Linked DNA regions of Cricetulus griseus. The protein of the gene in region 1 interacts with the protein of each later gene in a pairwise test. Links are inferred from orthologs where the notes say so. Each region holds a gene or a part of one and is shown in the gene's direction. Other genes may lie near its edges.

The links.
Region 2: the proteins of Smyd1 (region 1) and Homez interact in binary tests that used the Homo sapiens proteins (3 or more experiments, as listed by UniProt). The link is inferred for Cricetulus griseus from reciprocal best matches to the Homo sapiens genes SMYD1 and HOMEZ.
Region 3: the proteins of Smyd1 (region 1) and Zbtb44 interact in binary tests that used the Homo sapiens proteins (3 or more experiments, as listed by UniProt). The link is inferred for Cricetulus griseus from reciprocal best matches to the Homo sapiens genes SMYD1 and ZBTB44.

What each region holds. Positions count from the first base shown.
Region 1 is NC_048601.1:62,948,534-62,958,787, reverse strand, and holds the start of Smyd1 (histone-lysine N-methyltransferase SMYD1), read left to right. Parts: upstream 1-5,235; 5' UTR 5,236-5,311; coding exon 5,312-5,448; intron 5,449-10,254. UniProt on the Homo sapiens protein: Methylates histone H3 at 'Lys-4' (H3K4me), seems able to perform both mono-, di-, and trimethylation. Acts as a transcriptional repressor. Essential for cardiomyocyte differentiation and cardiac morphogenesis.
Region 2 is NW_023276807.1:210,068,081-210,078,294, reverse strand, and holds the start of Homez (homeobox and leucine zipper protein Homez), read left to right. Parts: upstream 1-3,886; 5' UTR 3,887-4,060; coding exon 4,061-4,067; exon of another isoform or gene 4,068-6,364; intron 6,365-10,214. Other genes in the region: protein phosphatase 1 regulatory subunit 3E, read left to right, coding at 2,962-3,378, 3,464-3,886. UniProt on the Homo sapiens protein: May function as a transcriptional regulator.
Region 3 is NC_048597.1:143,466,950-143,477,203, forward strand, and holds the start of Zbtb44 (zinc finger and BTB domain-containing protein 44), read left to right. Parts: upstream 1-4,522; 5' UTR 4,523-5,019; intron 5,020-10,254. UniProt on the Homo sapiens protein: May be involved in transcriptional regulation.

The sequences.
Region 1 (10,254 bases):
AGTTCTGGTGAGCAGAGGCAGAACTGGGGTTCCCTTGTCAGTAGGGTTGAGTTCCTTCTAGAAGCTCTGGAGTGGGAATCTCTTTCTTTCCCTATTCTAGTTTCCACACATCTTGGTGATTTCTTGGCTCATGACCCACCCACCCCATCCCTGAAATCATCAGGAAAGTACTCTGCAGTGTCCCTTGTTCCTCCACCGTTATCTTCTCTGTCCCTGCCTTCTTCATATGAGGATCACTTTGATTACATTGGTCCCACCAGGATAAACTCCTCCTGTTGGAGCCCATAAAAATAGTTCTGCTTCATCTTGACTTAAGGTCAGAGAGTTCAAAACTATCCTTACTCTTCCAAGGTTAAAGTCTTAAGAACTAAGAACTTTTTTTGTTGTTGTTGTTTTATTTTTCGAGGCAGGGTTTCTCTGTGCTTTGGAACCTGTCCTGGAACTAGCTCTTGTAGACCAGCCTGGCCTCAAACTCACAGAGATCCACCTGCCTCTGCCTCCCAAGTGCTGGGACTAAAGGCATGCGCCACCAACTTCCGGAGAGAACTAAAGTTCTAAGGCATGGCTACTGTTTGGTCTAAGGCGTGGATATCTTACCTATATAACAAGAGATTTGGTCTAAGGTGTGGTTACTAAATGTTTGGAGAAATAGGGAAGAAAGTCTGTTCCTTGTATCAAGATAAAGAAGTCTTTTGACTTTTTCCCCTTTTTGGTCGGGGTTTATAAGAATTTTGAGAAATAAACTTGGGCCATTCAGTATTCACTGGAATGCCCTCCCGACTCTATTCTGTGTCTCTGTCTTTTTCTTAGTAACTTTAATTTGTCTACGTGCCATTTATCAATCCACACTCCCCCTCTCAAGTGTGAACCAGGCAAGTCAGATGTATGTGACCCAAAGACAGTTTCCTACACCCTCCCTGAAAGATCCTAATTTGAAAATTTCCTCCTAGCATGTGTCACAGTCCATTTGCTGATGCCCCAGCTGAATATCACAGATCAGTTTATAAAGAACATTTCTTTTTGACTCACGACACTGGAGGCTGGGGAAGTCCATGATCAGGTGTCTGTGGAGAAGTCCTCTTATTGGTAGGGCTTTATGCAGAGGTGCAGGGACATTGCATTATGGGACAGAGCATCTGTCTCACATCTTTCCTCTTATAAAGCCACAGTACTGTCAGATTAAGCATCCCAGATGGCCTCATTTAACTTTAATTACTTTCCACAGAACCTTCAAATAATACAACTGGACTATGTTTACATCCTCTATTTACCTCATGAGTCTATTTCAACATGAATTTTGGTGCACTCTATAGATAACACTTGTAAGGTGACATGTATAGTTTTGGGGACTTGAACATCTTCTAAGGGCCATCAGTCTTCCTAACACATAACTGTACTGTGATCAGATGAATAGGCACAGATAAAGCTAAAGCTCAGAACCTAATGTCTTTGTTTTTCATCTCAGTCTCAGGGCAGGTAGATTTCTTCTTTGACCATGGTTTAGGCTGACCGTGTCCCAGTACAGCATCTAGAGTAGGTTTGAGTTCTTGCCAGACTGAGCACTATCCTCAAAGCGAAGGCTGTGAATTACAGAGCAGGGTTGATACAGGGCACTGATTGGAAGCTAACTCCTTCATACTTTCATTTTCACCCTCTTGGCATTAGTGGTATTTAGTTTTTTGGTTTTTATTGTCTTTCTTATTCCTCCTCTTCCTCTTCTTAACTGTTTGAGAGAGGGTCATACTTTTTAGCACATGATCTCAAACTCACAATCCACCTTCCCTAGCCCCTAAAGTAGCTGGTGTGGTGGTTTTGAAAGGGGTAAACTAAACTAAAAGGCTTCACTTCTAGAAATGAAGGGACCAGACCCTCACTCAGCCCCCTGCTTTAGCAGCCATGACAGGCTACAGAAAAGACACATAGGCCTCTGACACAAGGAAACTCCAGATCCCCTGGCCTCCTGGGGCCCAGGGCCAAAACTGAACACAAAGAAACTCCAGATCCCACCCCCCCACCACCAGATACTTGGTTCCTGAGAACTGTTTGACCACCAGGAAAAACCAAAACCTCCCTTGTAGTCTCCGGGATACAGTTCTAAAAAATATTGGTATCTATGTACAACAGGCCACCTGCAAGTGATAAGACAAAGCCATAGAAACCACAAAATGTTCCCTCTCAGCACTGACCAATGAGAATAATTGGTACACAGGTATTTCATGCCAAAATATGACTTTGAGAAATTCTCCTAATTGTTTCCAAATGTCAACCAATCAGAAACCAACCTGTATCTACTGATGTAATCCTGTAACTTTTGTCTTTAAAACCTAGCAGTAGACAGGGAACTTCACTCGCTCTGGAGGCTGCTGCGTCAGCTAGCCAGACAGGGTTCCTGTCATGGTTGGATGAATAAAATCTTGCTTTTGCAGTTTGGTGGTTCTGTCTGTCTTTCTTGTGGTCTCTGGGGTTCTTTGCAACTTGGGCACAACAGTTTGAATGAAAATGGCTCCATAGGCTCATGTTTGAATGCTTGGTTCCCAGCTGGGGGACTGTTTGGGAAGGATTAGGAGGTGCGGCCTTGTTGGAGGAGGTGTATCATTTTGAGGTTTCAAAAACCAACACCAATGTAGCAGAGTGGTGGTGGCTCATAGCTTTAATCCCAGCACTGGGGAAGCAGAGACAGGCAGATCTCTGTGAGTTCGAGGTCAGCCTGGTCTACAGAGTGAGTTCCAGGACAGCCAGGACTATTTCACAGAGAAACCCTATCTCAAAAAACAAAGCAAAACAAAACAACAACAACAACAAAAGCCCAGTCTCTCTCCTTCTGCCTCCATCTTGCAGGTAAGATACAAGCTCTCAGCTACTGCTCCTGCACCCATGCCTGCCTGCCTGCCACAGTGCTTCCTGCCATAATGGTCATGGACTAACTGTCTGAAACTGTAAACAAGCCCCCAAGTTAAAATCTTTCTTTTTTAAGGTTCCTTGGTCATAGTGTCTCTTCGTAGCGATAGAACAGTGCCTAAAACAGCTGGGAGTGCAGGTGGGCATCACCACACCCAGCCCTGATGTTTACCTTTTCAGGCACTAGTCTAAAATGCTTTTGAGTTGTTTTGCTTTTCGGGATATATCTGAAATCACTGAGATTCTCTAGCTCCCATGTTTCGAGAATCAGGACTGCTGTATGTCAAGGGGGTTGGATGTGTTTCCAAGTCTCAAAGGAGTTTTGAGACAAGCAACTTGGCTGAAGATGCACTGGAACTCCTTGGCTGAAAGCACATTGGAACTTCCGGTGTATCCTGATAACTGGAGGAGACTGTGACAGGATAAAGAAAGCAGAGCAAAACAGCCACCACGGAATGAGTGCTTTATGGCATGCCAAGAGCTGTGCTGCCCTTGAACATATCACCTCATTTAAAGCTTTCCATGGCCCATGGAGGCAGAGATTGCCACGCTTGTTCCATAGGTTCCCTTTTCAGGTGGTAGCAGCAGACTCAGTGTTTGTGAGCTACTACAGTTGTAAAGATGTGGGAAGGTCGGAGGGTCTTCCAGAAACCAGTGTGTCTTGGTTTGTTTGTATTGCTGTAACAGAATGTCAGAGACTGTGTAATTTATAATGAGCAAAAATGTATTGACTCCTGATTCTGGAGGCTAATGATAGACCTTCTGTATCACAGAATGGCAGAAAGTCCCCTGTGGACAGAAGATGCGGTGGGAGAAGCCGGACTCATCCTTTTTTAAAGCAGGAATCCATTCCCTTGACAATGGGGTTAATTCATTTATGAGAGCAGAGCTCTAATGAACTAATCATTCCTGAAGGTGCTGCCTCTCCACACTGATTATGGTTAGGTCTCAAATTCAGGACAAGTCTCACTCAGTACCTGTGCCTCCTCCCAGTGCCCCTCACCCTGTCCCCTCCCAGGGCTGGGCCTCCTCTTCCCTGCCCCCAGCCTGATCCCTATATAACTTGCCTGTTTTAGCTAGCACCTCTCTTGACCTCTTGGCCAGGGCCACCTCTCAGTCAGGGACTCCTCTCTTGCTCTCCCATCCCTTCTCTCCTTTCATGGTTCAGTTTAGTCTGCCAGCCATGTTCAGCCTGGACTCTTCTCTTTGCCTGCTTCCTCCCTTATATCTACAATAAAAATCTTCTCCATACTCCTTCCTTCCTTCCTTCCTTCCTTCCTTCATTCCTTCCTTCCTTCCTTCCTTCCTTCCTTCCTTTCCTTTCTCCTCTCTCTCTCTCTCTCTCTCTCTCTCTCTCTCTCTCTCACTCCTTTTTTATTCAGTTATGTTTTCCGACACTTAAACTTTGAGGGTCAGACTCAAAGTTTAGAATCTAAACAGTCTAGAATCTAAACATACCCAGAGACTAAAAATACTACATAGAAGCTAGGCCACAGCGCAGAATCCATGAGGGCCTTTCCCTCAACCTCGCTCAGTGAGATCCAATGCTGGCTAAGGAGTGCTGTTAAGTTCGCAGGGATTTTAGGATTATCCCTATGGTGTCCTTCCTCCTGGGTGAGAGGGAGGGCAGGGCACGCTGATGTTTTCCTGGCAGCAGACATTGGCTTGAGGGGAGTTGGTAGAAAGGTGGGGATGGGTGCTGTTAGTTTCAAAGCCTGGCCCTCTGCATCCAGCTCTCTGCACCATCAGCGATGCTCTAAGCACAGGGCACCTCTGACCTCCATGCCATGGAGTGCGCTGCTGGGAGAGACCCAGGGACATCTGGTATGTGTATGCCAAAGGCCCATTTTAGTTTCTGCTATTTATTTCTTGCCATGGGGAAAGACGGGGTGGGATGGGCCAAGGGGCCCATCTCACTTGAGAAAGTCTGGGTCTGACAGCTGAAGGGTCCCAGAGCAGCCAATATTACCTTGCCTTTTCTCTCTGTCTCCCCCAGTTGTCTGCTTTTGATTGACAGAGACATCTGGAGGCTAAAAATATCCTACTGACCAAGTGCTCTTGATTTCAACTCAAGATGAGCACGACTGCAGTCCAGAACATACCACATGCAGGGATTATCTTCAAACAGGGTTTCATGCCAGGACCACACTAGCCTGTGCTCATTTTCTGTCTTGGCATCTTTTCCAAGTGGTGAATGAGACCCTTGTCAGGTCACTGCTTGTTTGCCTTTTCCCTCCTGAAATAGTGATGAAGGGGGAGGTGAGGGCCTAGTTCTGGAAAGGAGCAGGGAAGGGGAGGTGGCCTGTCCATTTATAGTCCTGCCCTCTGGGACATGAAGGTGCTAAATAGCAGCAAGGACAAGAGGCTTGGCTCAGTGTGAGCTACCCACACCACAGGTCTGACAGACTCTGAGATGACAATAGGCAGCATGGAGAATGTGGAGGTCTTCACTTCAGAGGGCAAAGGCAGAGGTCTGAAGGCCACGAAAGAATTCTGGGCTGCAGATGTCGTCTTTGCTGAGCGGGCTTATTCTGCAGTGGTTTTCGACAGGTATGGCATGCAGGAAGTGGCCTTCTCCACTACTGGTTTGACTGGTATCACACTCTCAAATTCTGAATCCCAAAATCATCAGGTGAAGGAATAAAGTTCAAGGGATCCTTAATTTGTAATTAAAATTTTTATTACATTTATTTATTTGTGTGTGTGTGTGTGTGTGTGTGTGTGTGTGTGTGTGTAGAACACGGACACCACAGTGTGGAACATATACTTGTCACAGTGAATATGGGAAGGCCAGAGGATAATTTTTGGTGTTGGTTCTCTCCACCATGTAGCCTCCAGGGATTGAACTCAGATAGTCAGTCTTATTGACAAGTGTCTCTGACAATGAGCCATCTTGCTGGCCCTTCAAATTTCACTTCTGATAGCTCTCTGTTGGTATTTCTTTTCTGCAAGGAGTCGTTGTCTCTAACTCTCTATGGCCCCCATCGGGGTGGCGAAGCTGAGTAGGGGTCTTTAGGCACATTATCACAGAGAATGTGGCTGGGAGGCTGGGGGTGGGTGGGTGGATGTGGTGAAGTGGGAAACATTTTCTTACAAAAATCTCTTTTAGAGTCTTTGGATATACAAAAGAGGCTAAAAGTCTGTATAAACCCATTAGACTATAAAACATTTGTTGAAATTTTAAGAAATCAGTACTAATTATAAGTAATAAAAGAATCCACTTACTTTCAAAAGAGTCTTTCCCAGTTTCTACCTCAGGGGTAACTTGTGCTTTACTTTAAATCAACTTTTTCCAGAACATTCTTATGTTACCTCAAACATTGATTTGCACTGAGCAAACTGGATAGCCACAGTTTGTTTGCTTGCTTGCTTTTATGGAAATGATATGCTTCAGGGTCAGATGAGCCTGCTTTTTCCTTTAAACAATGTTTCTGACTCTATCCTTGTGAGGACAGTAAGTCTACAGATACCTTGTTTGTTTTTGTTACTTTAAAAATTGTGTGTGTGTGTGTGTGTGTGTGTGTGTGTGTGTGTGTGTGTGTGTTCTTGTATGTAGGTGTGCATGTGCCATTGTGGACATGTGAAGGCAATTCTCTCCCTCCCCTATGTAGGTTCCAGGGATTGAACTCGGGTCCTCAGCTGTGGCAGTGGGCACCTTTATCCCCCGAGTCGTCTTGCTGGTCTTGATGCATCTTGTATATCCCCAAATATCCAGTTGTTTTAACTATGTGTTGAGCTTTCCATATTGGTCTGTAAACCACATGGGATATCATGTAGTAATATTACTGTAAATATTCCACCCTGTAAATATATGTACAACATTTTACTTGTCTATTTTCCAATCAAGAGACATTTAATGGGTTCCCATTTATCTAAAAATCTAACATTCCTGCAATTAAAATGTGTTCCAGTGTGCACACATACACAATGTGATTCTTCTCTAGCCATCGGTGTGCACAGCTACATGGTGTGATTCTTCTGTAGGGCCATTGGTGAGCACAGGTGCACAGGGTGATTCTTCTCTAGGGCATGTGATTAGGAGGAGGTTGCTGTTTTCAGCTTTAAAAGTATCTGTTAAAGCATCCCCATTTCCCTACAATCTTGTCTATATGGAACTATCAACATTTTAAAATTTTAAAAATAGTACTTAATCTTTATTTTAAAACAAGCAAACAACCTCCCTACATAGTGATTACATTAGAATGACAGTATTTTCTGATCACAGTTGGAGTGACATGTCTGGTGTTTGTGTGGTTTGAATGAAGCAGCCTCTGATAAGCTGGACAGGTGAGTGGCTACAGCATCAGCTGTCATGGGGTGGGTGCTTCAGAGATAACTTGGTTAGTATTTAAATTCTCTTTCCTCTGACCACACCTTCTAAGACCTTCAGGAAAACGCTGTGAACCAGGGCATGTGGCTCATTGTCATCCAAGGAGTTAATCAGAAGCCCAAGTGACACAAATAGCAATTCAGAGAAGTGTGTGTGTGTGTGTGTGTGTGTGTGTGTGTGTGTGTGTGTGTGTGTGTGCTGAGTACAGGTATGAAGTCAGCTAAATTTAGAGTTAAAATATAAAAATACAGCAACACACAGATGGCACATGCTATTCTTGGTTTGGTCACCACCATTGTGTACCTCAAAGTCCCTAGAGCCAGTCTAGCCAGATTCTGTTTCAAGACTCTGGAGTTGAGTGGGGTTTTCCAGTATTTTTTTTTTTTTCTTTTCTAAGACAGGATCTCACTATGTAGTCCCAGCTGGCCTGGAACTCACAAGGCTTGCTTCACCAATGTTGCCTCTCCCTACCTAATTCTGGATGAAAGATGTGTTCCACCGCACCTGGCTCTCAGTAGAGAGTTTTTATTAACTTGCCAGGCTCCTCCTCCTGGTTTATTTCATTCATTTTACTATGCAGTGGAGCTTTTACTAGAGGAATTTTTCTTCTCCATTTAATAACTTGAACGTCTTCCACGTTTATCTTTGAGTCTGTGTGCAGGTCATGTGTGGGCGTGGGGATGCTGTGCCCTGGATGGTGTGTGTGGGTCAGGTCAGGTGTTGATCCTCATCTGACACCTTGTCTGGGGCAGGGTTTTTTTTTATTGTTTTTGTTTGTTTAGTTTTTTTGGAGACAGGGTTTCTCCGTATAGCCCTGGCTGTCCTGGAACTCACTCTGTAGATCAGACTGGCCTTGAACTCAGAGATCCTCCTGCCTCTGCCTTCTGAGTACTGGGATTAAAGGCGCACCATGACCACAAGGCAGGGCAGGATGTTTTGTTTCATCTGTATATGGCAGGTTGAGAGGCCTAGAAGCTTTTAGAGATTCCCCAGTCTTCACCTCCTAGGAGAGCTGGGATTATAGATGTGTGCTATGCCATCTAACTTCATGTGGGACATGGGATTTGAACTCAGGTCCTCATGCTCTGTGAGCAAGCACTTTGCCTGCAGTGCCATCTCCTCAGCCCTTCTTGTGTTCCTTTTTATGGTGATACCTAAACTTTAAGCTCCTTTCTTGTTTGTTTAGTTTTATTAGTTTTATTTTTGTGTATATGGATATAAGAGTTGGAGTGTGCATGCATTTGTGTGCATGTGAGGCCAGAGGTTGCTGTTGGGTGTCTTCTTCAATTACTCTCTGTGCTACTTTTTTAATGTACATTGGTGTTTTGCTGCATGTTTGTATGTGTGAGGGTATAAGATCGTGGAGCCACAGATAATTGTGAGCTGCCATGTGGGTGCTGGGGATTGAACCAGGTCCTCTGGAAAAGCAGCCATCTCTTTAGCCCCTCTGTATGGTATTTTTGAGACAGGATTTCTCACTGAGCACATAGCTCACCAACTCAACTAGACTGGTTTCTAGGAAACTCCAGTGATCCTCCTGTCTCTGCGTCTCCAGTGCTGGGATTAAAGTTTCTATGGGCGCTTGTTGTGATCATTATTCTGCATAAGCGCTTTGCTGACTGATCCATCTCTCCAGCCTTTTTTATTTTAATTTAGTTTCTATTGACATTGCTTTTCTTAATTTTTCATGTCCAGCAAGGTAAGTTAATTCTGTGTCAGGCAGAATGAAAAGATAAATGGTTTCATTCTCAACAGTGACTTGGGCTTTGGCAAGGAGAGGAGATACTATCTCTGTCTCGTGCTGTCTGTCACCACTATCACCATCAATACCTTCACCACCATCGCCATCACCATCATCATCTCAGTAGGGCAGAGCTCATCACTGAGCCATTCTCCCAGCTGAGTTTAAAGGGTTTTTTGTTTGTTTGTTTGTTTTGTTTTTTTGAGACAGGGTTTCTCTGTGGCTTTGGAGGCTGTCCTGGAACTAGCTCTTGTAGACTAGGCTGGTCTTGAACTCACAGAGATCTGCCTGCCTCTGCCTCCTGAGTGCTGGGATTAAAGGTGTGTGCCACCAACACCCAGCTCCTGAATAGGTTTTATAATTTGCTTTGTTTATTTAAGAGGTCCTGTGGCTCAGGCTGGTCTCAGACTCATCCTATGCTGAGGCTGGCATTTAGTTCCTGGTCCTCTTGACTCTACTTATCAGGTGCTAGGATTATGGACGTATGCCACCACACTTGGCTTATACTTTGCTTTTAAAATTGTTACTGAATGCCGGGCGGTGGTTCCTTTAATCCCAGCACTCAGGAGGCAGAGGTAGGTGGATCTCTGTAAGTTCAAGACCAGCCTTTTCTACAAGAGTTAGTTCTAGGACAGCCTCCAAACAAAGCCACAGAGAAACCCTGTCTTGAAAAAAAAAAAAAAAAAAAAAAAAAAAGAAAGAAAGAAAGAAAAATTGTTACTGATTTTTGCTTTGCTTTTTAATAAAAATATTTAACCCCACTAAAAGATGCAGGCTCCAAAGTATTTTCTGAGGATGCCTAGATCCTTTTAAACCCTTGACACCAAGTTTCATTGCTTTTAGGTAGAGGGTCCTGGAAGTATTGTCTAGAGATGAAAAAGGCTATTCTCCAGGCCCTTCCCTATCTGCTGAGGATGCTGTACACAGAGTCAGGCCACAGAAGGGAACTGAATCACATGACCCAAAAGAGCTTACAGTTTGAAATTCTGTAGATTGCAGTGGGTTAAAGTGCAGCAAGAGAGGAGTTCTAAGTGAATAAAATGGAGCTTATTCTGATTATTATTTTAATATACTAGAAAGGCACAGTGACGCTGACAATGGGCAGTGCTAGGAACCCCAAAATCTCAATTCTACCTCCCTTTATTGAGATAAGGTTTCACTATGTAAAACCCCATGTTGTCCTCATGCCTCTGCTTCCTAAGGCTCCATACCTAACTCAATTGTGTGTGTGTGTGTGTGTGTGTGTGTGTGTGTGTGATGTGCTTATGAGTGCAGTTGCCAGTTC
Region 2 (10,214 bases), on another chromosome or scaffold:
TCTTTGTTCTTGGGCTGATCATTCTGGATGCCACCAGCAACACACACCCCATTTATTTTTAGACAGATCTAGTTTAAGGCTTTCATTTGCAATATGGTTTATTCCAAGACATTTACCTGAAATAAATATACTTTAGGGTTGTGTTCTGCAGTGGGGCCTCGTGTAATCCAGGCTGGTCTTGAACTCACTGTGTAGATGGAGATGGCTCAGATGAACCTTCTATCTGCACCTCTTGATTAGTGCAGGGATTATGGGAGTGTACCCCACAGTGAATTTTTTTATTACTCACCTTAAGAGACCCTAATATATTTCTGTCTGACTTTTTATTTTAAGCTCTTTGTCAGCCAGGGCTGTGGTTTATTCAAATGTGTGTCTTCATGTTCAAATAAGCCAACAGCAAATGTTACTAAATGAATCAATTTAGACACCTCTGGCCAGTCTCTGAGCAGTTCCACTCAGGTGTTTAAAGATTATTGCAGTTGCTGTTCAGGAAATAAAGACTCAAGGTCAGTGTGAGCACTCAGGACCCAGTTGTCAGACTTCTATCTATATAAGCTATATACCTCAAGGATCCTCACAGCCCCACACTACAAAGCCAAGGCAAGATAGTGCAAGCTGTAAACAAGGCAGCAGACCCTTTGCCAAAAACTTGAGGCCATAAACTCTCCAGGAACCACCTTGGTTTTACATCAGTGACATGTTATTTCATCAGAGCAAGGAGGATCCCTTTAAACTGCCTGACTGTAACATTAATTAGCGTACAATTATTTTACACCTTAAGACATAAAGTATGTTCATGCATTTTATGTGTGAAATAAGAAACAAAATTCAATATGGTTTTTAAAAACGAGTCCTAGCTATTACTGCTATGTTTAAAGCTGCTGTGAAAACATACACAGGGATGAACTGTATAATAATAAGATAGCATAAGTCTGTTTATTTCCACTTGAGTTGCTTGTGTTTCATTTTGTTAAATCATCCTGTTATAAATCTAGAGACTTTAACTAGCTCGGTGGTAGAGTATTTGCCCAGCATGCATGAAGCCCTGGGTTCAAAACTTAGCACCACAAATAAATAAATGAATTTAGGGAGTTCATTTTTTTTCTTCACATTTTCTTTCTTTCTTTCTTTTTTTTTTTTTTTTTTTTTTTTTTTGAGACAGGGTCTGTCTACATAGTTATGGCTGTCCTGGAACTCACTATATAGACCAGGCTACTTGCCTCTGCCTCCTGACTGCTAGGATTAAAGGCATACATATGCATCACTATTCCTGGCCTCTTTTATTATTTATTTAGTTCTTTCTTTCCTTCCTTCCTTCCTTCCTTCCTACTTCCAGACAAGGGTTCTCTGTGTAACAGCCCTGCCTGCCCTGGAACTCACTTTGTAGACCAGGCTGGCCTCAAACTCACATAGATCTGTCTGCCTCTGCCTCCTTAGTGTTGGAATTAAAGGTGTGTGCCACCACACATGGCTTTATTTTAGGTTTTTAAGATAGGGTTTCTCAGTGTAGCCCTGGCTGTCCTGGAACTCATTCTGTAGACCAGGTTGGCCCAAAACTTAGAGATCTGCCTGCTTCTGCTGGGATTAAAGGTGTGAGTCGCCATGCCCAGCCCATTTCATTTAAAAATACGTATTTTTTTATTTTATTATGTGGTTGTTTGTGTCCACGTAGGGTCTATGCTTACGTGAGTGCAGGTGGCCTTGGAGGCCAGAAGGGGGCAGCAGATCCCGTGGAGCAGTGCATGTTCTTAGCACTGAGCCATTTTTTCAGCTCCGTAACTTCCACTTTTATATTAGATGTCAACATTATCATTTAATGAAAATACTAGTATCGTCATTATCTGTTTTAATGTATAAGAACTAAATGACTAAGAGAACCTAGCCCCACAATTAGTAACTATGTGACACCGGGCAAGATGTTTTCCCTCCCTCCCCATCTCTCAACTTTCTCTCTGTAATATGTTAACAATTACTGTAATCATGCCTAGTGTTTTGTGTTGTAAACCTCTGTAGAGAGCAGGGGAGATGGGGCAGCAGTTAAGAGCACATAGCACCCTTCTAGAGGACCCTAGTGGATTCTCAGCGCCCACTTCTAGCAGCTCACATGCACCTGTAATTCCAGCTCCACGGTATCTAATGTCCCCTCTGGCCCCTGTGGGCACCTGCACTCCTGTATACATAAAGCCGGACACCATACACGTAATTTAAAAAATGAAGCAAATCTTTGAAAATAAAAAAGATCAGTAGAGAAGTTAGAACACATTTTACATACCACTGTAAAATTGTCACTAGCTTGTTTTTCAAAAATGAAACTGGAAAATAGCCAGTCTTGTGTCCACCGCTCGTCCTTTGGCGTTTTCCACTCGGAAGACTTAACCTAGGATTCGCGGCCTTTCTTTTCACTACGCCCATCTTCACCTCTATCCCAAACCTGTAGCCTGGGTTTAAGAAAACACTGAGCTCTGGGGAAGAGAATTAGCCTCTCGGCATTTTGAACTTTCCATGCAAGAAAATGAAGGATTACTCTTTCCTCCCCGCTTTAACCCTTCTCATACTGGAGTTACTCATTTGGGACCCCGAGGGTGGAGTCAGTCCCGCCCCCTGGTGCAGCAGGGAAGATAGATGCCGAGCCACCTGTCAGAGGGCTGTGGGCGGGGGCCGGGTCAGCGAGGCCCGCAGAACCGAAGGGAGAGCGCCGTTGAGCGCACGCTCAGAGCAGACAGCGGGAAGCCGGCAGGACCGACAGTCTTAGAAGACAGTGGGGTTGACCGCCAAAGGCAGGGAAAGGTGGTCAAGGAAACCCGCCAGGCCAAGAACGCGAGGTGACAGCAAGAAGGCGAGTCCAGGGCTAGCAGCTGCCGAAGCAGCCTTCCGCCCTATGCGCGGACGCGGAGCGGGTGGCCGAGTGAGGACGCGCCGGGCGGGCACTGTGCGCCGGCCCCGCTGGGGCGCAGGGGTGCCATGTCCCGCGAGCGGCCTCCGCGCACCGACATCCCTCGCAACCTGAGCTTTATAGCAGCGCTGACCGAACGTGCCTACTACCGCAGCCAGCGGCCCAGCCTCGAGGAGGAGTCGGAGGAGGAGCCGGGGGAGGGCGGGACCCGGCCCGGCGCCCGCTCGCGGGCTCACGTTCCGGGTCGGGGGCGCAGGGCCCGCTCTGCGCCCGCAGGTGGCGGCGGGGCGCGGGCAGCCCGCAGCCGCAGCCCTGACACTCGCAAGAGAGTGCGTTTCGCTGACGCGCTGGGGCTAGAGCTGGTCGTGGTCCGCCGCTTCCGCCCGGGGGAGCCGCCCCGGGTGCCCCGCCACGTGCAGGTGCAACTGCAGAGGGACGCCCTGCGCCACTTCGCGCCGTGCCCGCCGCGCGCCCGCGGCCTCCAGGTAGGCGCCCCGCCCCCGTCCCCGGGACCTCGGCCTCCGCGCTCCAAGCCCTCCTCTGACCCGCCTCCCCGCCCTCTCTCCTCAGGAGGCGCGCGTGGCCCTGGAGCCCGCCCTGGAGCCCGGCTTCGCCGCCCGCCTGCAGGCGCAGCGCATCTGCCTGGAGCGCGCCGACGCGGGCCCGCTGGGCGTGGCCGGGAGCGCGCGCGTGCTGGACCTGGCCTACGAGAAGCGCGTGAGCGTGCGCTGGAGCGCGGACGGCTGGCGCAGCCTGCGGGAGTCGCCCGCCGCCTACGCCGGCCCTGCCCCGGCCCCGCCGCGGGCTGACCGCTTCTCCTTCCGCCTGCCGGCGCCTCCGGTCGGCGGCGCCCTGCTCTTCGCCCTGCGCTACCGCGTGACCGGCCGCGAGTTCTGGGACAACAACGGTGGCCGGGACTACGCGCTGCTTGGGCCCGAGCACCCTGGTGGTGCCGGAGCCGCGGAGCCCCAGGGCTGGATCCATTTTATTTGAACTAGGCTCCTGCTGGCCACAGCAGGGACAAAACAGTGGCACCCAGGCGTGGGGGGAGACTGTGGCGCCAGGAACCCGGGAACCACAATTGGCAGATGGGTGGAGGGCGGTCCCAGAGAGTCAAGTCGAGGTGGCTGGAAACCGTCTGTGAAACTCAAGAGATTAGGGTGGAAAATGGCAGGTAGGTGTAAGCGGAAGGAACTCGAGATAAGAGGCCCAGAAGGGCTCTGGAAAGTGAAGCCTCCTTGGGCTAGGAAGCCCAGTGAAGTCATTCGGTTTGCTTCCCTCTCACTGGCCCTACCACCTCAGGTCCCCGTGCCCTGCCCACCCTAGCTTTATCTGAGCCGAAATTGCCTTGCTTAACCCCAGGAATTTGACCATTGCCCCTGGGCCCTGGCAGTGTGACAGCATTCCCTTGACTCTCAGCAGTTCCTGGCTTCAGTCTTCAAGGAAACATGGGAGAGAGTCCTTCAGCCACGGGGCGAGCCTTGGTGGCATCTGCAGATGGTGGCAAAACCAACTCCAAGCCTGCCCTTGTAGTCAAATAATGGGGCATCTAAGGGGTTTGCATAATCAGGCTTCCAGAAAAATGAATGCCAGCCTTACTTTTCTGGGTGCCTCTTAAAACCTTGAAGCACTTTGTGGACTGTCTGCGGAGGGACAGTGAATCATGAAAATCACTACTGATTTATTCTTTGTGCCTCTGAAAGAAGAGGAAACCACCAAGTATCTGTATGATTGAGCAGGTTATTTTATCTTTTTGGACTCCAGGTTCCTCTGTGAGAAATTGGATTTGAGTTAGGTGGTCCCTTAAGGTTCCTTTTTTTTTTTTTTTCTGGACAGGGTCTCTAGCCCAGGGTCTCCTGCCCTAGCCCCTGCTGTGCTGGGGTTATTGGTGTGAGCCACTATGTTTTTAGGGCTACATTTTGGTGTCTCATGATCTGTTCATGGCACAGTATAGGTTAGAAACTGTATTCTCCAATCTAGTGCTACAATTAAAGCCCACAGGGCAAGCCAGGTGTTGTGACACACACAGGGAGACTGTTGAGTTTGAGGCCAGCCAGCTAATATGATTGATTATTTAATCTATCCTGGGCTACATGAGACTGTCTCAGAAAATTAAAAGCAGCAGCAAGGCTTACCTAGCACAGTGAGTCTGTGGTTGGAGATGAGGATAGTCTCCCCCACACACACACCACTTTTTGGGAGTGGGGCACAGATGATCCAGGATACAGCCCATAAGCAGCCCATAGCCTCAGTGTGTTCCACGCCACAGCTCACCCTGTGCCATTTGCTCTTAACTTCCACAGACTTAGAGCCCCAGTCCCGTGAGAAAACGGAGACCAGTATTACTGTTAGGGAAAGTGATGCATGGTAGCCCCAGAATGGAACAGTTGGAACTCTGGAGGTCATGGGTATAAGAAATAGAAAACAAAAAATGAAGGCAGAGGTGACAGTTTGATCCATATCCAAGTCAATGAAATGGAGAACCTGGAGCCTAATGCAATGCCCACATTCACACCTCATGCCCTTCCTAGGGAGGCTCCAGGTGAGAGTTGGGTTTTGCTGGTTGTTTTTCCTTTCCTTGTCTTTCCCTTTCCCTTCTTTCTTTTTTAAGATTTATTCATTTATTGTGTATGCAGTGTTCTGCCTGCATGTTTGCTTACAGGCCAGAAGAGGTCACCAGATCTCATTACAGATGGTTGTGAGCCACCATGTAGTTGCTGGGAATTGAACTCGGGACCTCTGGAAGAGCAGCCAGTGCTCTTAACCTCTGAGCCATCTCTCCAGCCCCCTCACTTGTTTCTTTGAACATGTAGGACTTTTGCCTTTATTTCCACTCTTCACCCTTGTTGGTCTCTACGGGGCATCCCCTTTCCCTTGAGAAATCCCTGTCCACAGCCAGTTTCTCACTCCACCTCTTCCCTGCCAGGTACCCACACATCATTCAGAATTCAGTTTGGGGCTTGTCCCTTTGCCCCTGCAGTCATTCATCAAACATTCACATCTAAGCATCTTCTGACCTTGTACAGAAAACAGTTTGATGTTTCCTGGGGATCACCTTCAGGTTCAGCAAAGTCGCAGGAGGCACTGTACTGGAAACCACCAAACTCTGGTCACTCTCTAATCTTCAACAAGGAACCCAGGGAGACTGGGTGGAGGTTCCATTGTGGTGGCATCATTCCTAGTGTGTGTGTGTGTGTGTGTGTGTGTGTGTGTGTGTGTGTGTGTGTGACTGTTACTTCTTAACAGATCCTATTTAACTTGTGTGCTAAATGTGTGACATGCATGTTTAAAACAGCACTGTGACTTGAGCATTATCTCTTTTAGAAATAAGTCCAGACTCAGTAATTTGTTCAAGAGTATGGGATTGTGAGCCCAGGAGGTTCCCATAGTCTGTGTGGGTAATCATGGTGGTATGTATTTTTCTTTGATTAAGAACAAAATTAAAAACTTTGCTATATATCCTCTATCATAGGGAAAGACCATCATTCATTATGCTGTGCCTTCCTGTCCTCCAAGGGGCCCAGACTTTTACCCCACCTTCTCCTGTGCCAGCATTCCAGTTCTACAGGGTCAGAAAGGCACTAGCCCATGAGCCTGCTAGAGAACTCGGGAACCAATGTAAATGCCAGCTTTCCATACACTGGGTTCTCTCCTGGCTCTGGCCAACCCGCTATACCACCTGGCGTGGCATCTTTCCTTCCTCTCCCTCCATTATCCTTGACTAGGTACATTATTTATTTAGGTTTTTTGAGACAGGGTTTCTCTGTGTCTTGGAGCCTGTCCTAGAACTCGCTCTGTAGTCCAGGCTCTGTAGTCTAGGCTGGCCTCAAACTCAGAGATCCCCCTGCCTGCTGGGACTAAAGACATGTACCACCACTGCCCAGATTTTTTTTTTTCTTGCATGACCAGGTAAACTCTGATGTTCCTTGAGAAAGGTTCCTGGCTTAGGACAACTGCTAGGTGGTCTTTGCTGGGCTTCCTCTCTGGAACCCCTGGTATTATCAATTAGGTAAATGTGAGCTTGGGAGGGGACATCTGGATGAATAGGAGTCTTCTGGGTTCTTTGCTTTGGTTGTTTTTTATTTGTTTTTGTTTTGTTTTGTTTGAGACAGGGTTTCTCTGTGTAACACCCATAGCTGTCCTGGAACTGACTCTGTAGAGTAGGCTGGCTTCAAACTCACAGAGATCCACCAGCCTCTGCCTCCTAAGTGCTGGGATTAATGGTGTGCGCCACCAACACCCAGCATTTTCTGGTTCTTTACTGAGCTGCTACACACTTAAGAATAAGTGGATACTTTTCTCTAGTCCCCAAGGTTGGATGACCTGGACTGAGCTACCTCCTTGTGCACACAAATAATAGGTGCCTCATTCTTGGAACCCACAACCAACTAAGCTATCACTGTACCACAAACCTTGTAAAACGGGGGAGAGGGGCTATTATGTGTTGTCTTGTGTGTTATTTGTGTGCCTAGTCCCTTTGAGATTCCCAAAAGACTTTCCTGTTCAGATGTCGCTTTCCTGGTACATGAGTTCAAGATTCTCCCTGTCTCTGGCATTTCCTTACCTTGTAAGTGGACTAGTGTAGCAAAATCATAAATTCTACCACCAAAAAAAAGTGAGACTCCTTTCTTTGTTGACACCGTTCTTTCCAAGATTCACCTACACTTCTTGCAGTGCCAGTAAGCAAAGAGGAGTGTGCCCAGGGAGAGCAGAGCTACAGCCGTCTACTCCCACCCCCTTGCTGTCTTAGTCCAGCCAGACATGGGAAATAGTTATTAGTATTTGCTCAGATTAAGGTGCTCTGGTGGAGACTCTCTCTGTGGTTCCCATGCACTGGAAAGTGCCACAAGAGAACACTACTGTCCTTGACGAATCCCAGCAGAAATACCAGCAAAGTCCCTTTGACTTCAGAAAGCATCCTACACCTACCTGTCTGGTAGCTCTCCTTACCATAGCCTGAAAGGCCAGCTCCCAGATCTGCTCCAGGGTCGCAAGAGTAAACCTCAGAGTAGTGAGGGCTTAGGAAAATTCTTACCTATCTGAGGGTTAGACTTTTTCTGAGGGGAAAAATAAGAAAACACAGACACTTTCTGGTGATAACTTACTTCATCTTGAAAAATTCTCTCTGAAAAATCTCTCTTCACAGCTTCCTAATTAGCTCTGTAACCCTTCTCATATCTCTTTCTACACCCTTCTCTCCCACAGCCAAACTCTGAATGATAGGTTATATGTTACGTTTTCAGGGCCTGACCCATTCTCATAACACAAGATAAGTCACAGAGTTTCTCCTAGAGGGGTCACATTGGCAGGCCAGTGAGTAACCCGTGGCCATGGACATAGCTCTTTCCCAAACAGAAAATGACACTGGAATTCAATACTTGAACAATAATAGTTAATTAGCTAAACCTTGAATGGTAGGGAGTACAAGCAGAAAGTCCATTTATGTCTACTAAAGTTACTTTGAGCTCTGACCTTGAGTTAGCAAAACACCTGGGAAAATGACTTCATGTAGGGGCAACTAGTTTGCTTTGAATTTGTTCAGGAATCTAAAATTAGCTGTCTGTGTAAAAGGCTGTCTTTATGCCTGAGAATCCTATGTCAGTCTAAGTAATGAAAAATAATCCTACTGTTAATTCTATTCATCAAAATTATACAGCTTAAGCAGAAATCATCTTCCTGACTATCCACAGCTGTATGTGTGCACAAATAGATGGAATATATACATGGGATAAACACACAAGCAATGGGAAAACATGCTTAGCAGTTCTTAGGGAAGAAATGAAGTGGCTCGTGGGAGAAATTACAGACAGACACAATTATCTACAGCCAGTGATACCACAGCCTTGCTCCATTACTCATCTGGTGGGTCAGCCTGCTGAACACTAGTTGTCACCCCTGTATACCCTCCTGGCCCTTTGCAACCAGAAGCTCTTGGCACCTTTTCCTGGCCCTTCTTTCATTCTCCCTTTCCTCTCTGATATTTTGACTTGAAACATGGTTCTATTGCTTAGCCCAGTGTTGGGACCCAGACCCCACGGGGTCTCTATGAATTGTTTTCCAGCATAACCACAGGTACCTCCTGTTTCTCGATACTCAGACTTAGTGGTGGTGCAGGGCAGCCACAGCCCAGCCTGATGTCAAATGTGTAATGCTCCTGCTTATCCTCCCGAGGGCTAGGATTGCTGTGCTACTGTGCCAAGCTGCTTTTTAACACGATTGCCCATTTCTTTTATAATGAGCCCTAACTCTTCAATTTCCAACTTCTATGTTTTTGCTTCTAGCTTGTATTTGTTGGAGGCTCTTCTGGATGCTTGCCAGTCACACACAACCAGAAACACAAAAGGCATGTCTACAGAGATCTTTGGGTTCACTTCCTTCCCAGAGAACACAAATCCGGAAGTGAGAAGGAACCAGCAGTAGTTGTAATTTGTCAGTGTATTTCCAAGTCAGGACTTAACACTTGGGCCTCCTGATGGTCATAGCTTGTTACTCATGATTGTTATGGCAAGGGCAAAGGTTAACATAAAAGATTCCTTAGCTGGGCTTGGTGGTGCACACCTTTAACCCCAGCATTCAAGAGGTAGAGGCAGGCTGTTAGTTCTCTGTGAGTTCAAAGCCAGCCTGGTCTACAGAGTGAGTTCCAGACAGCCAGGACTACACAGAGAACCCTGTTTTGGGGGAAGAAAAGCTGGGTGGTGGTTCACACTTTTAATCCCAGAACTGGGGAGGTAGAAGCTGGTGAATCTCTCAGAGTTTGGAGAACAGCCTGGTCTACATAGTTGCAGGACAGCCAGGGCTACACAGAGAGACCCTGTCTCAAAACCAAGAGATTACTTCTTGTACCATCCCCCTCCTTTCCCACCAGTCCCCTTCCTTCTCTGTGGCCAGAAACTGGTAAGGTCTCTGTGGCCAGCCTTGGGCTTCCTTGGGTGATGATGTTAAGAGCACTGATCTCTGTAAATATATAGCCCAGGTATTACAGCACAGGTAGCTAATGTGGAGAGAAAAGGGGTTTGTTCTGTGAGCCTCATCTGATGTCTCAGGTTTGGACCACCATACCTAGCTATCATTTAATAATTTTATTTACTTGGAGGGCACTTGTGGAGGTCAGGATAATTTTAGAGTCAGGGTGTTCCTCCCCCCTTTCACTGTGGGTCCTAGGAATAGAACTCAGATCTTTAGGCTTTGCTGTAAGTACCTTAGTTGGGGTTTCTATTGCTGCAGTGAAACACCATGACCAAAAGGCAAGTTGGGGAGGAAAGGTTTATTTGGCTTACACTTCCACAGCACTGTCATCATTGAAGGAAGTCAGGACAAAAAC
Region 3 (10,254 bases), on another chromosome or scaffold:
CATTACACACACACACACACACACACACACACACACACACACACACACACACACGCACACCACACATATGGTGTGCATTACTGTTGTTCTGTATAGTCTGAAAATGATAAACAATAGCTGAACTTCCAGTTTTGAATGAGCAAGTTTAGTAAGTACATAGCATGCAAAAGAAAGAATAAATAGCTGGGCAGTGATGGTGCATGCCTTTAATCCCAGGTTTTGGGAGGCAGAGGCAGGTGCATAGCTGTGAGTTCTAGGCCAGCCTGGTCAACAGAGCTATTTCCAGGACAGCCAGAGATACATGGAGAAACCATGTCTTGAAAAACAAACAAAAAGAATAAATACAATAACAAGGAGCAAGATAGAAGCAATACATTGATGGGGGATGTCCTTCTGTACATATATTTCTCTTATTAGTTGATGAACAAAACACTGTTTGGCCAATAGGGGCAGGAAGATAGGTGGAGCTAGGAGATGAGGAGGATTCTGGGAAAGGTAGGCAGGGGAGACAGGAAGGAGACACCATGTAGTGGAGGAAGGAGGAACAGGCCAGGCCCTTCTCCACTAAGATAAGACCACATGGAAATACACAGATTAATAGAAATGGGTTAATAATTAAGACAGAGCTAGCTAATAAGAAGCCTTAGCCATCAGCCACAGTTTTATAATTAATATAAGTCTCTGTGTGTTTATTTGGGGCTGAAGGGTGGGAGGACCTGGTGAAATAAGAAAACTACAACAACAAAACATCATCCAATTGGGCACTTAAAAAATCCAGCAGACACTGACTAGGGAAGCCCCATGGAGGCAGCCAGCTAGAGAGGCAAAGTGTCACCTCAGGAAATGCTTCAAAGGAAAAGAATAAATAGCAGCAGAAAGGTAACATCATCAAATTGGATTTTGAAAACCATCTGGCAGAAACCAACTGGACAAGCCAAATCAGTCAGATGAACCTTTAGTTTCCTATCCCTACTGCAGTCATTTTAATATAATGGGATAAACAATAGTAACCTCTATTAGAAATGGTTTAGTTAGAGCTGTTTTCAAAGACACTATGATTTTATTCTTGCGTTATTTGGCTTTTTTTTTCCCTCTTGCCATTACAGGGGTATGTGTGTGCTGGGATGGCAGCTCATCCACAGACAAAGGGGCCTTGGAAGATTTGAGAAAAACATGCTTGCATCTTAAATGGGGGGAGGGCAGGCAACCCCGTTTCTAGAGCCAGCTTCTCAGTGAGCCCAAACGGCACACAATTTACCAATTTTATAGACAGTATAGTTACGTAACGAATACGTTTTACATTATTCAATTTGTATCACATAGAACTATCAAATCTGTAAAGAAGAGATCTGAAGATGGAGAAAAAAAATATCCAAATAATGTTTTTCAAGACAGAGTTTCTCTGTGGCTTTGGAGGCTGTCCTGGAACTAGCTCTTGTAGATCAGGGTGGTCTCGAACTTAGAAACATCCGCCTGCCTCTACCTCCCGAGTGCTGGTATTAAAGGAGTGTGCCACCACCGACTGGCTACATCAATATCCAAATAATGTAATGCAAGAAAAAGCATGGTTATTTTAGAGGTTAAAAAAAAATATGTAGCCAGGTGTTGGTACGCACGCCTTTAATCCCAGCACTCAGGAGGCAGAGGCAGTTGGATCTCTGTGAGCTCGAGACCAGCCTGGTCTACAAGAGCTAGTTCCAGGATAGCCTCCAAAGCTACAGAGAAACCCTGTCTCAAAAAACCAAAAAAAAAAAAAAAAAAAATGTAACTCTTTGACTGCCATGTTTCTTGAAGGAGACAAGGAAGAACCCAGCCAGTAGTGTTATGAAAGCCACAGTAAGAGCTTGGGACTTTACCTGAAAACAATAGAAATTGTTGGCTGTTGGCTGACATGGTTGCCAAGCATTACAACTCTGGCTACTGCTTTGTCAGTGAAGAGATGGTAGTCTTTTGGGAACCAGGTAAGCAATATTACAATTTTCTAGGTACCATCTGCTCTATTTCAGGATGGTGACAGTGGGGAAGAACATATTTAACAGGAATCATTCAATTGAACTGGTTTACAGTAGGGTAGAAAAGTGACAAAGTTGACCCAACCAACTGAAAGGATGGTGAAATGGGAACATTAGAGCGGCATGTTTCAAGGTAAGGAAAAGAGATTGACTTTTGTTTATACAGTTGGAAGAATCTATCAGGAAGTAAGCTTGTGCAGTAATGGGCTCTCAATGAAATAATTCCAGTCAGACCAGAAATCTTTCTGGTGAGTATAAAGCATTCTACCTCTGAAATATGTTTTGGTCTAAATAACTGAGTTCCTACTCAGCAGTAATGGTCTACCATGAGAGAGTACCATTTTTACCAGAAACGAGTCTCCCAAACAGCTTATAGATAAAATACCCCCCCCCCCGGAATTTGCCTGGAATTTGAATTCCTCAGAATCATCCACACTGAGTTAATAATTAAAAGTTCCTCATACTGTTTGTTTGTTTCACCTGTGTACAGGATTCCAGTTTCACAAAATCCTCCCAACAGAATTATTCAACCTGGTGTCAAAGAAAGGTCTACCTATTCCAGCAACCCAAGGGCAAGTCTCTGCTAGCTCAGGAAGAAAAGAGGTGGGAGGCTGAAGAAGCCACAGAAACTGATCCTGCCCAGAACCAAAATACAGAAGAGGGTTCCAGCAACAGTTAATCTTCTGTGTATTTTTTTCTCACACCCTCTCCAAGCATCTAGAACTCTGCCTTTAAGAGATCAACAGCTACTTGTTGCTTACTAAACTCTTCAGACATAGGGTGGGAATGGGAGAGGAGGATGATAACATTTTTAGAGGCAAAATGAGAAATAGACAAAGCTTAAGGGAGAAAAGGAAATGAGATAAGAAAATGAAAGCTCTGTGTGTGTGTGTGTGTGTGTGTGTGTGTGGTGTGTGTGTGTGTGTGTGAGTGTGTGTGTGTGTTTGTGTGTGTGTGTTGTGGTGTGTTTTCTGCCTGTCCTATGAACATCAACTGCCCCTTGAGTCACAATTAGAAAAGTCCAATTGAATGCTCTTTTATTGACTGTCTATTACCCTAAAACTTTATGTCTACTTTATTCCCACTAGATTCTTGACCAGTTGTTTCCATGACACATATGTTTTCAGCACATACTCCACCAAGAGCCTTACGCTCAGGCACCTCCCTAGATAGTAAGATTCTTCAATTCTCAGTGCAAAGACAGGCCCAATTTATTTAAAAACATGATAGAGTATAATACCTTCTATATACTTGAAAATTTGTTGGAAATTTGAAGGGCTACATAGACTTTGGTTTTGTTGACTTTTGAAAGTAGATTTCATTGATTAGGGGTGCTCTGGTGCTTGGTGGTTTGCTTTGTGGAGGGTGAATTAAAGTCAGAAGAGGTCAAGTGTCTGTCTATTGGCTGGGAAATCAACCTACCTTGCACAAAGGAGTCTTTCGGTTTAAAAGCTGGAGCTGTGGGTACATAGTATGCATATGCAAATGCACAGCGCCCAAGGCGCAGCGCCTTGACTGGTATCCTGCCCTCCTCCACTCTTCCGGAGGCACAATGACGCCTGCTACCGGGGGTACTCCCGGAGTACCCACCAACCCACCCGCGCTAAATCACTAAGTCTGGTTCTCTGAGGTCTAAGGAAGTCACAGCTTAGGGTTTTGGGGGTCTTAATACCCTAAGCGCTGATTTTGAAGGTGACCAAAACTTGAAAGCCCTTTAGACAGTATCAGTTAAGTGACCCATCAGTCAAGTGACCCGCACATTTCCTGCCCCGGGGGCAGAGAAGAGCCGTTTACGGTTGGGGTGGGAATAGTTCACAGTCGCTTTAGGTTGTAGAAGCCACTCTGTTGGGGTAACGAGTGGCCGATTTTTTTCTAGTCATCTCAGAACTGCACTTTCTGCCATGGTAATCAGAAAAATGCTAGGGCAACCTCACAGCACTGCGAGGATGCCAGACACGCCAAGACAGCTCGCGAGGGATCCCTGTCCATCGGGAAGAATGCAGGAGAGCTCGTCAGGTTCTCAGCGGCCCTTGTGGACAAGCATTGGCAGGCCTCAGTTTCCACGTGAGAAAAAATGTCCACATCACCCAATTTCCTTCCCCGACAGAGAAGGGCTGGAGTGCTTTGCAGCTACAGAAACCACTAGGGAAAAAAAAAACCCAAAACAACAACAACAAAAACAGTTTCTTTAGGCTTCTAGCGCCAAGGAAAACCAAACCGTTCTAACGTTTCCCTTGGGGCAGGCTCAGACCACGGCTACAGGACAAACTGGACAGGCCTTATGGCGCTTATGTAGAAGTATGCAGACAAGAGGACACACCGGGTCAAGGCCCGCGGTACTTGTATGTGTCTGGCTGGCTCGAGTGGCTAAGGACAGCTCGCTCCGCGCTTGCGCAGTAGCTGCGTACCTCCTTCAGCCCGGCCCCGCCCTCCTCTTCCCCAGCCCGGCCGTCCGCGCAGAGCATTGTGGGACACAAACAAAGTGCCCCCAAACAGGCTGGAGTGAAACGAGCGGCTACGGCCCGCACGCGCGCTGCGGCGGCTCCCTCCCAGCCTCCCCTCCCCTCCCCTCAGTCCCTTTCCCCTTCCCACCCCGCCCGCGCCGGGCCAGCGCTAGCGGCCGCGCGCCCTCGGCAACCGCCCCCAACGGCCGCCCGCGCGTAGCGGGCTGGGCCCCTCGCTCCTCCTCTCAGGCCCACGGGCGCCGGGCGCTCCCGTCGCGCCTCGCACTCTCACACCTCGCGGGCGCGCTGGTGAGCGGCGCCGCCATGCGCGCCCAGTTCCAGGCTGCACACTGGCCTAGGCGCGGCGGCCCGAGATAGGGTCCCCTGAGCCTCCCGGGGGAGGAGAGGAGCCAGCCGCGCGCTCCGCCCCCTCCCCCCGGGTTGCCGGCGCCGCCGCCGCTGTCGCCACCGCCACCGCCACCTCGCCGTCTCAGTCTGGCGGGGAGGAGGAGGAGGAGGAGAAGGAGTAACAGGCCTCCGGACCCCCGCACCGCCCGCCGCAGGTAACGGAGGGAAGGGCCAGCAAGGGGAGGGAGGGAGGGAGACGGCGGGCCAACCCGGGAACCGACACCACGCGTCGCCCACCTGGACGCGGCGGGGAAAAGGAAACGTGGTTTGTCACTCTGATTCGTGCGAGGAAACACCCCACAAGGTCCCCTCATTGGTATTTAATCCGGGAGTCGGGAGCGGCTGGCCTTGGTCCCTGCGGACCTGAAGTAGTCACCCGGATCTTCCAGGGGAGCAGATTTGCAAGACAATCCGTCCAAAACCCAATGCAGTGCTGCTGGTGAGGTGTGTTGATACCCGCTCACCTGGTCTACCCGAGAGCCCCAGACCTGTTTGTTCCCTCCTCTCCTCGGCCGCCCCTCCCCTCCACGCCCGGTATTAGAACGCACTTTTCAAAGAAAAGAGGAAGAGAATGCAAACACACCTCTCCCCCCCCACCCCACCCCCCACCTACCTGAGGATATCTCTGTATCTGGTCATTTTACTGTCGGCCTTAAAAAAAAAAAAAAAAAAAAAAGGAGTTGCCTGTAAGTGAAATGACAACTAAGTTATTACTGATTAAAGGAAATTGTATCTGTTTGATTTTTTGTGAACCTTAACCGGATTCTATTGTAAACTGCGTTGTTCGTGTACTTTCTAGTAACTTACAGAATTTAAGACCAAAACTTATTTTTTAAATATATAAGCAGCATACTAATCTGTTGCGTGTGTTTATCGGGAAAAAATTCTTCCGCTTGTTAGAATTTTATGCGGAGATAAGTTAATACCAAAAGCAGACTACAATATAATAGATACCAGAAGCTGGGTAAAAATTTGATATTTACTTTTGCTTTCTTGATAATTTTTGGTTTAAAAAAATACTGTAGATCCTGATTTTTTTCCCTCCCATTCACTCTGATTTCCAGTTGATTTATAAAATTCATCTGTGTCTTTTGTAGTTTTCCACGTGGAATGTAAATGAGTGTTTTCTTATACTTTGTATATTTAATTACAAAAAAACAGATTTACTTTGCTGCAACAGTGTTTTGCTTTTTATATATGTAGTCTTAGTCTCAGAACCGGATGATGTAGATAATAACATTTTAATTTTATAGAAGAGACAGAAACTTAGTAACATTAATTGTAACACGTTCTAGGCTATGCAAGTAGTATGTTGACAATTGAACCCAGGTGTATTTCTGCTGTACTTCTCATGAGTGATATAATTTCTTTTATGGCCTCAAACTTTTCAGTTTCACAGAAGTTGTCCGAAAAAATACAGTGACCATATCAGTACCACATTCAGTGATCACCGGTTTTTCCTATATTGTATGTTTTGTTGTTGTGGCTGTTGCTGAGACAGCATGCCTTGTCCTCCTAAGTACTAGAATTAGATTTCTTCTTCCACCACCACGTTTGATTCTTTCTTTCTTTTCCTTTTTTTTTGGGGGGGGGGTTCGAGATAGGGTTTCTCTGTGTCTTTGGAGGCTGTCCTGGAACTAACTTGTAGACCAGGCTGGTCTGGAACTCACTGAGACACGCCTGCCTCTGCCTCCCGAGTGCTGGGACTAAAGGTGTGCACCAACACTGCCCAGCACGTTTGATTCTTAAATATTTCCTAAAAATACTAAGTAACGGTGCCCATCAAAATTTTTACATTCAAATTTCCTCAGTTGCTCCAAAGTATCTCCACAGGCTGTGATCAGTCAAGATTCATGAATTGCATTTGGTGACTATGTTTATTTAGTCATGTCTTTTTGTTGAAAAGGATAGTACCCAGACTATCTCCTTTTTCTCTTTTCTTTTCTTTTTTTTGTTTGTTTGTTTGTTTGTTTGTTTTTGCACTGAGCTGACCAAACCAGTTGCTTTGTAGAACATTTGAGCCAGTTTAGCCTTGACCTTGTCCACCTATAATAGTGTCATTTCATTTACTACTCTTTCTTTTTAACTGAGTTTGGTTCCAGACCAGACTGCTGATCGATGGTTGCATAAGGCCAAGGATATCCCAATATAGCCCAACACAAAGTTGTAAACTGAAAATATTAGGTTTTCGTGTGTGTAACTTGATTGATAGTACAGTTTCTTTGAGAGCTGTAAATAATAGTGTCAAAAGATTGGACATCCTTGGAACAAAGATTTAATTAGCTTAAAGTGAAAAACCTAATTTGGCAAGAATACTTAAATAGGTGATGCCCCGGACTTTGTATCGGAACACCACACAGTTGATGTTAAAGTGGTGGCTGCAAGGTCTTTTGTGAAGGTGTGGTTTAGCAGTTTGATTATATGTTACCTTAAGGTAGTAACTCTTTGACAGGAAGCAAGTAACTTGTTTCTGACTAAACTTTCCTTAGTGATTTTTAGCTCTTAAAATGAGTCTCTGAAAAGTTGAGATTTTTCTTTATTGGGTATGAACTAAATTTCTTCTTAAAATGCAGATTAAGTGCTTGATTTTATCACCTTGTTGATTTTTAGAGTAAAGAGCTAGGGTAACCATTACAGACTTGAGATTTGAGGGGATAATACCACCAGGGAGTTCATTCATTTTATAACCAACAAGGACCCTTTTTGAGGGCCACATTGTCACCAGTTTGGACATAGAAACTCTTTCTAACTGACTATAGTGTCTTTTGACACTTAGGCTCACCTCTATTCTGGAGCACATTCTGGTACAAGGTACCCTAGGCTGCTTTTGCTGTGCCATCTGCAAAGGGCTGTTTATCCTAGGAATCTTGGTCATTTCGATGAGAAATGGATTATATAAAAATATCTGAAAGTTTGGCATAACCATTGCTACCAGAGTATTACTGTTTCTAGACTTGTTTGAAAGGATAGAACTAAGAATTTATTTACTTAGACAGGGTCTCACTATAAAGTCCTGGCTGCTCTGGAACTCAAATCCTTCTCAGTCTCTCAGGTGCTGGGATTAAAGGTGTGGGCCAACACACCCAGCCGTTTTGCTTTTGTTTAATTGTGAGTTCATAGTGATAGATCCAATTCAAATTAGCAGGACAGACTTTTTCATCTTCCACTCTACTTTTAAGATTTTTGTTGTTGTTGTTGTTGTTTTTCGATACAGGGTTTTTTTGTAGCTTTGGAGCCTGTCCTGGATCGCTCTGTAGACTGGGCTAGCCTCAAACTCACTGAGATCTGCCTGCCCCTGCCTCCCAAATTCTGGGATTAAAGTCATGAGCCACCACCCAGCAGGAATTTTTTTTTTTTAAAGATTTAAACATTTTTATGTGTATCTGTGTTTTCCCTGCATATGTGTCTGTGTGCACCTGTTGCCCTCAGAGGCTGAAAGAGAGTGTTGGAGCTCCTGGAATTAGAGTTACAGTTGGTTGTGAGTTAACATATGGATACAGGGAACTGATCCTGGGTCCTGTGCATGGAAGCAAGTACTAAGTGCTAAGCCATCTCCAGCCCAGGATTTTAGTTTTGAATGTATAAAATATATACATAGTTCAGAATAATGTTGCAAAAACTGTGCCTTCAAAAACTTCACTTAAGAAAACTTGACTCAAGGGCCTAGATTGAGCCTGAGTACCATCAGAAATCAAAACCAAAACATTGGCTCAAGTGCCAGAGAGTTAGCAGTAGGGTAGGCTGAAGCCACATAGTACTACTTCGTTTGTTTGTTTGTTTAATTTTTTTTTGCCTTCTAAAAAATTAGACTATACATTTTCTAGTACTACTTTTGTTTTATAATTACATTCTGATTCCTTTGGCTAACCTTTGGAAATGTGTAGAGACGTAGATTTGAAGCTTGCTTTTGCAGGTGTCATATTTTAAGTAATAATTCATGAAAGAAAAACTCCCAACTTTTACTTGAAAAATGTTCTAGGGAATGGGTAAAGTGCTTGACATAGCAAGCATGAAGAACTGGGTTCAGATCTCTGGCACCAGTGTGTGAAAGGGTGGGAGCCCGGGATTTGGGGCATGGGTAGAGAGGTAGCAGAATCCTGAGACTTGCTAGACAGCCAGTTTAGCCAGTAGATGATCTCCAGGAAAGTGGTAGAGGAAGACTGACCTAGTACCTTCCTTACCCCCCACCCAAATCATCTTTAAAGCTAAATGTAATTGATAGAGGTTTTATTTACTTACTTTTGGAGACAGGGTTTCTCTGTGTAGCCCTGGCTATCCTGGAACTAGCTCTGTAAATCAGGCTGGCCTCAAACTCACAGAGATCCACCTGCCTCTGTTTTCCAGTACTGGGATTAAAGGTGTGAGCCACCACTGCCTGGCAAATATTTGCTTTTATACTTCACAACAAAAACTGGCATCCATAACCATCTGCAGACATAAAGGCCGTTTCAACACATGAAGATAACATTTTATTTAGATTAGATAAATTTGATAAAAATTCATAATTATGTGGTCTGAAATACTATGTTCACATAGTTTTCAGAGGGAGCAGTGGTTGTCTAAAGTAAGTATGTATAGCCATGCAGCAACTATTGTGATAGCTATGTGGGCTAATCTGAGTGTAATTTAGTAATTACAATTTGTTGTACTTTTCCTACACTAAATATTTTGAGAATTATCTCAAGGCTCATTTGAACATTTAGATATTGCTACTAGTATTTCGTTTTGCAAGTAAAGAAACTGATAGCTAGAAGAATTAAATGACATGTTTAAGATGTCATAGCTATTGAGTGGCAGACCCAGGTTTCAAATTCAAGTGTATTTTCAGAGTTAGCACTCTCCTACTTTCTGTACTTCACCACTGAGTGTAACAAGCCAAGACAATGAACTGATTTCCAGTACTATACATAAGGAACTACATGATTCACATTATACTATAGGAACACTGAAATTGTAGGCCAGAAATCACAAGTATTTGTCTTATCTATTATAAATCCTTAGATTTCCCCTTCTAAGAAATTTGGGAGTCCTGACCCTATGTCAAGAATTGCCTGTAGGATAAGATTTTATTAAAGGTATCAGAACTCAAGATGGATTGACAAAGTGGATAGGTTTTTGTTTGTTTTTTTAAGTATATTACAGAGTGTTGATAGGCATGACTATTTATTCAGCTATAAGTTTAGTTTTGGCTTTTTAAATTTTTCTGTACCTGAAAATTTCACAGTTGGGAGTGATTAAACATCAATTCTTATTAAAAACTAGTATTACTGGGGCTGTAGCTCTGGGTGCTGGCCTAGCAGGTGAGGTCTCTCTGCATTATGTAAATCGAGGTAGTGACAGGACTGAGCCTCTAATGCCAGCACTCCAGTGTTGGTAACAAGAGGATTAAG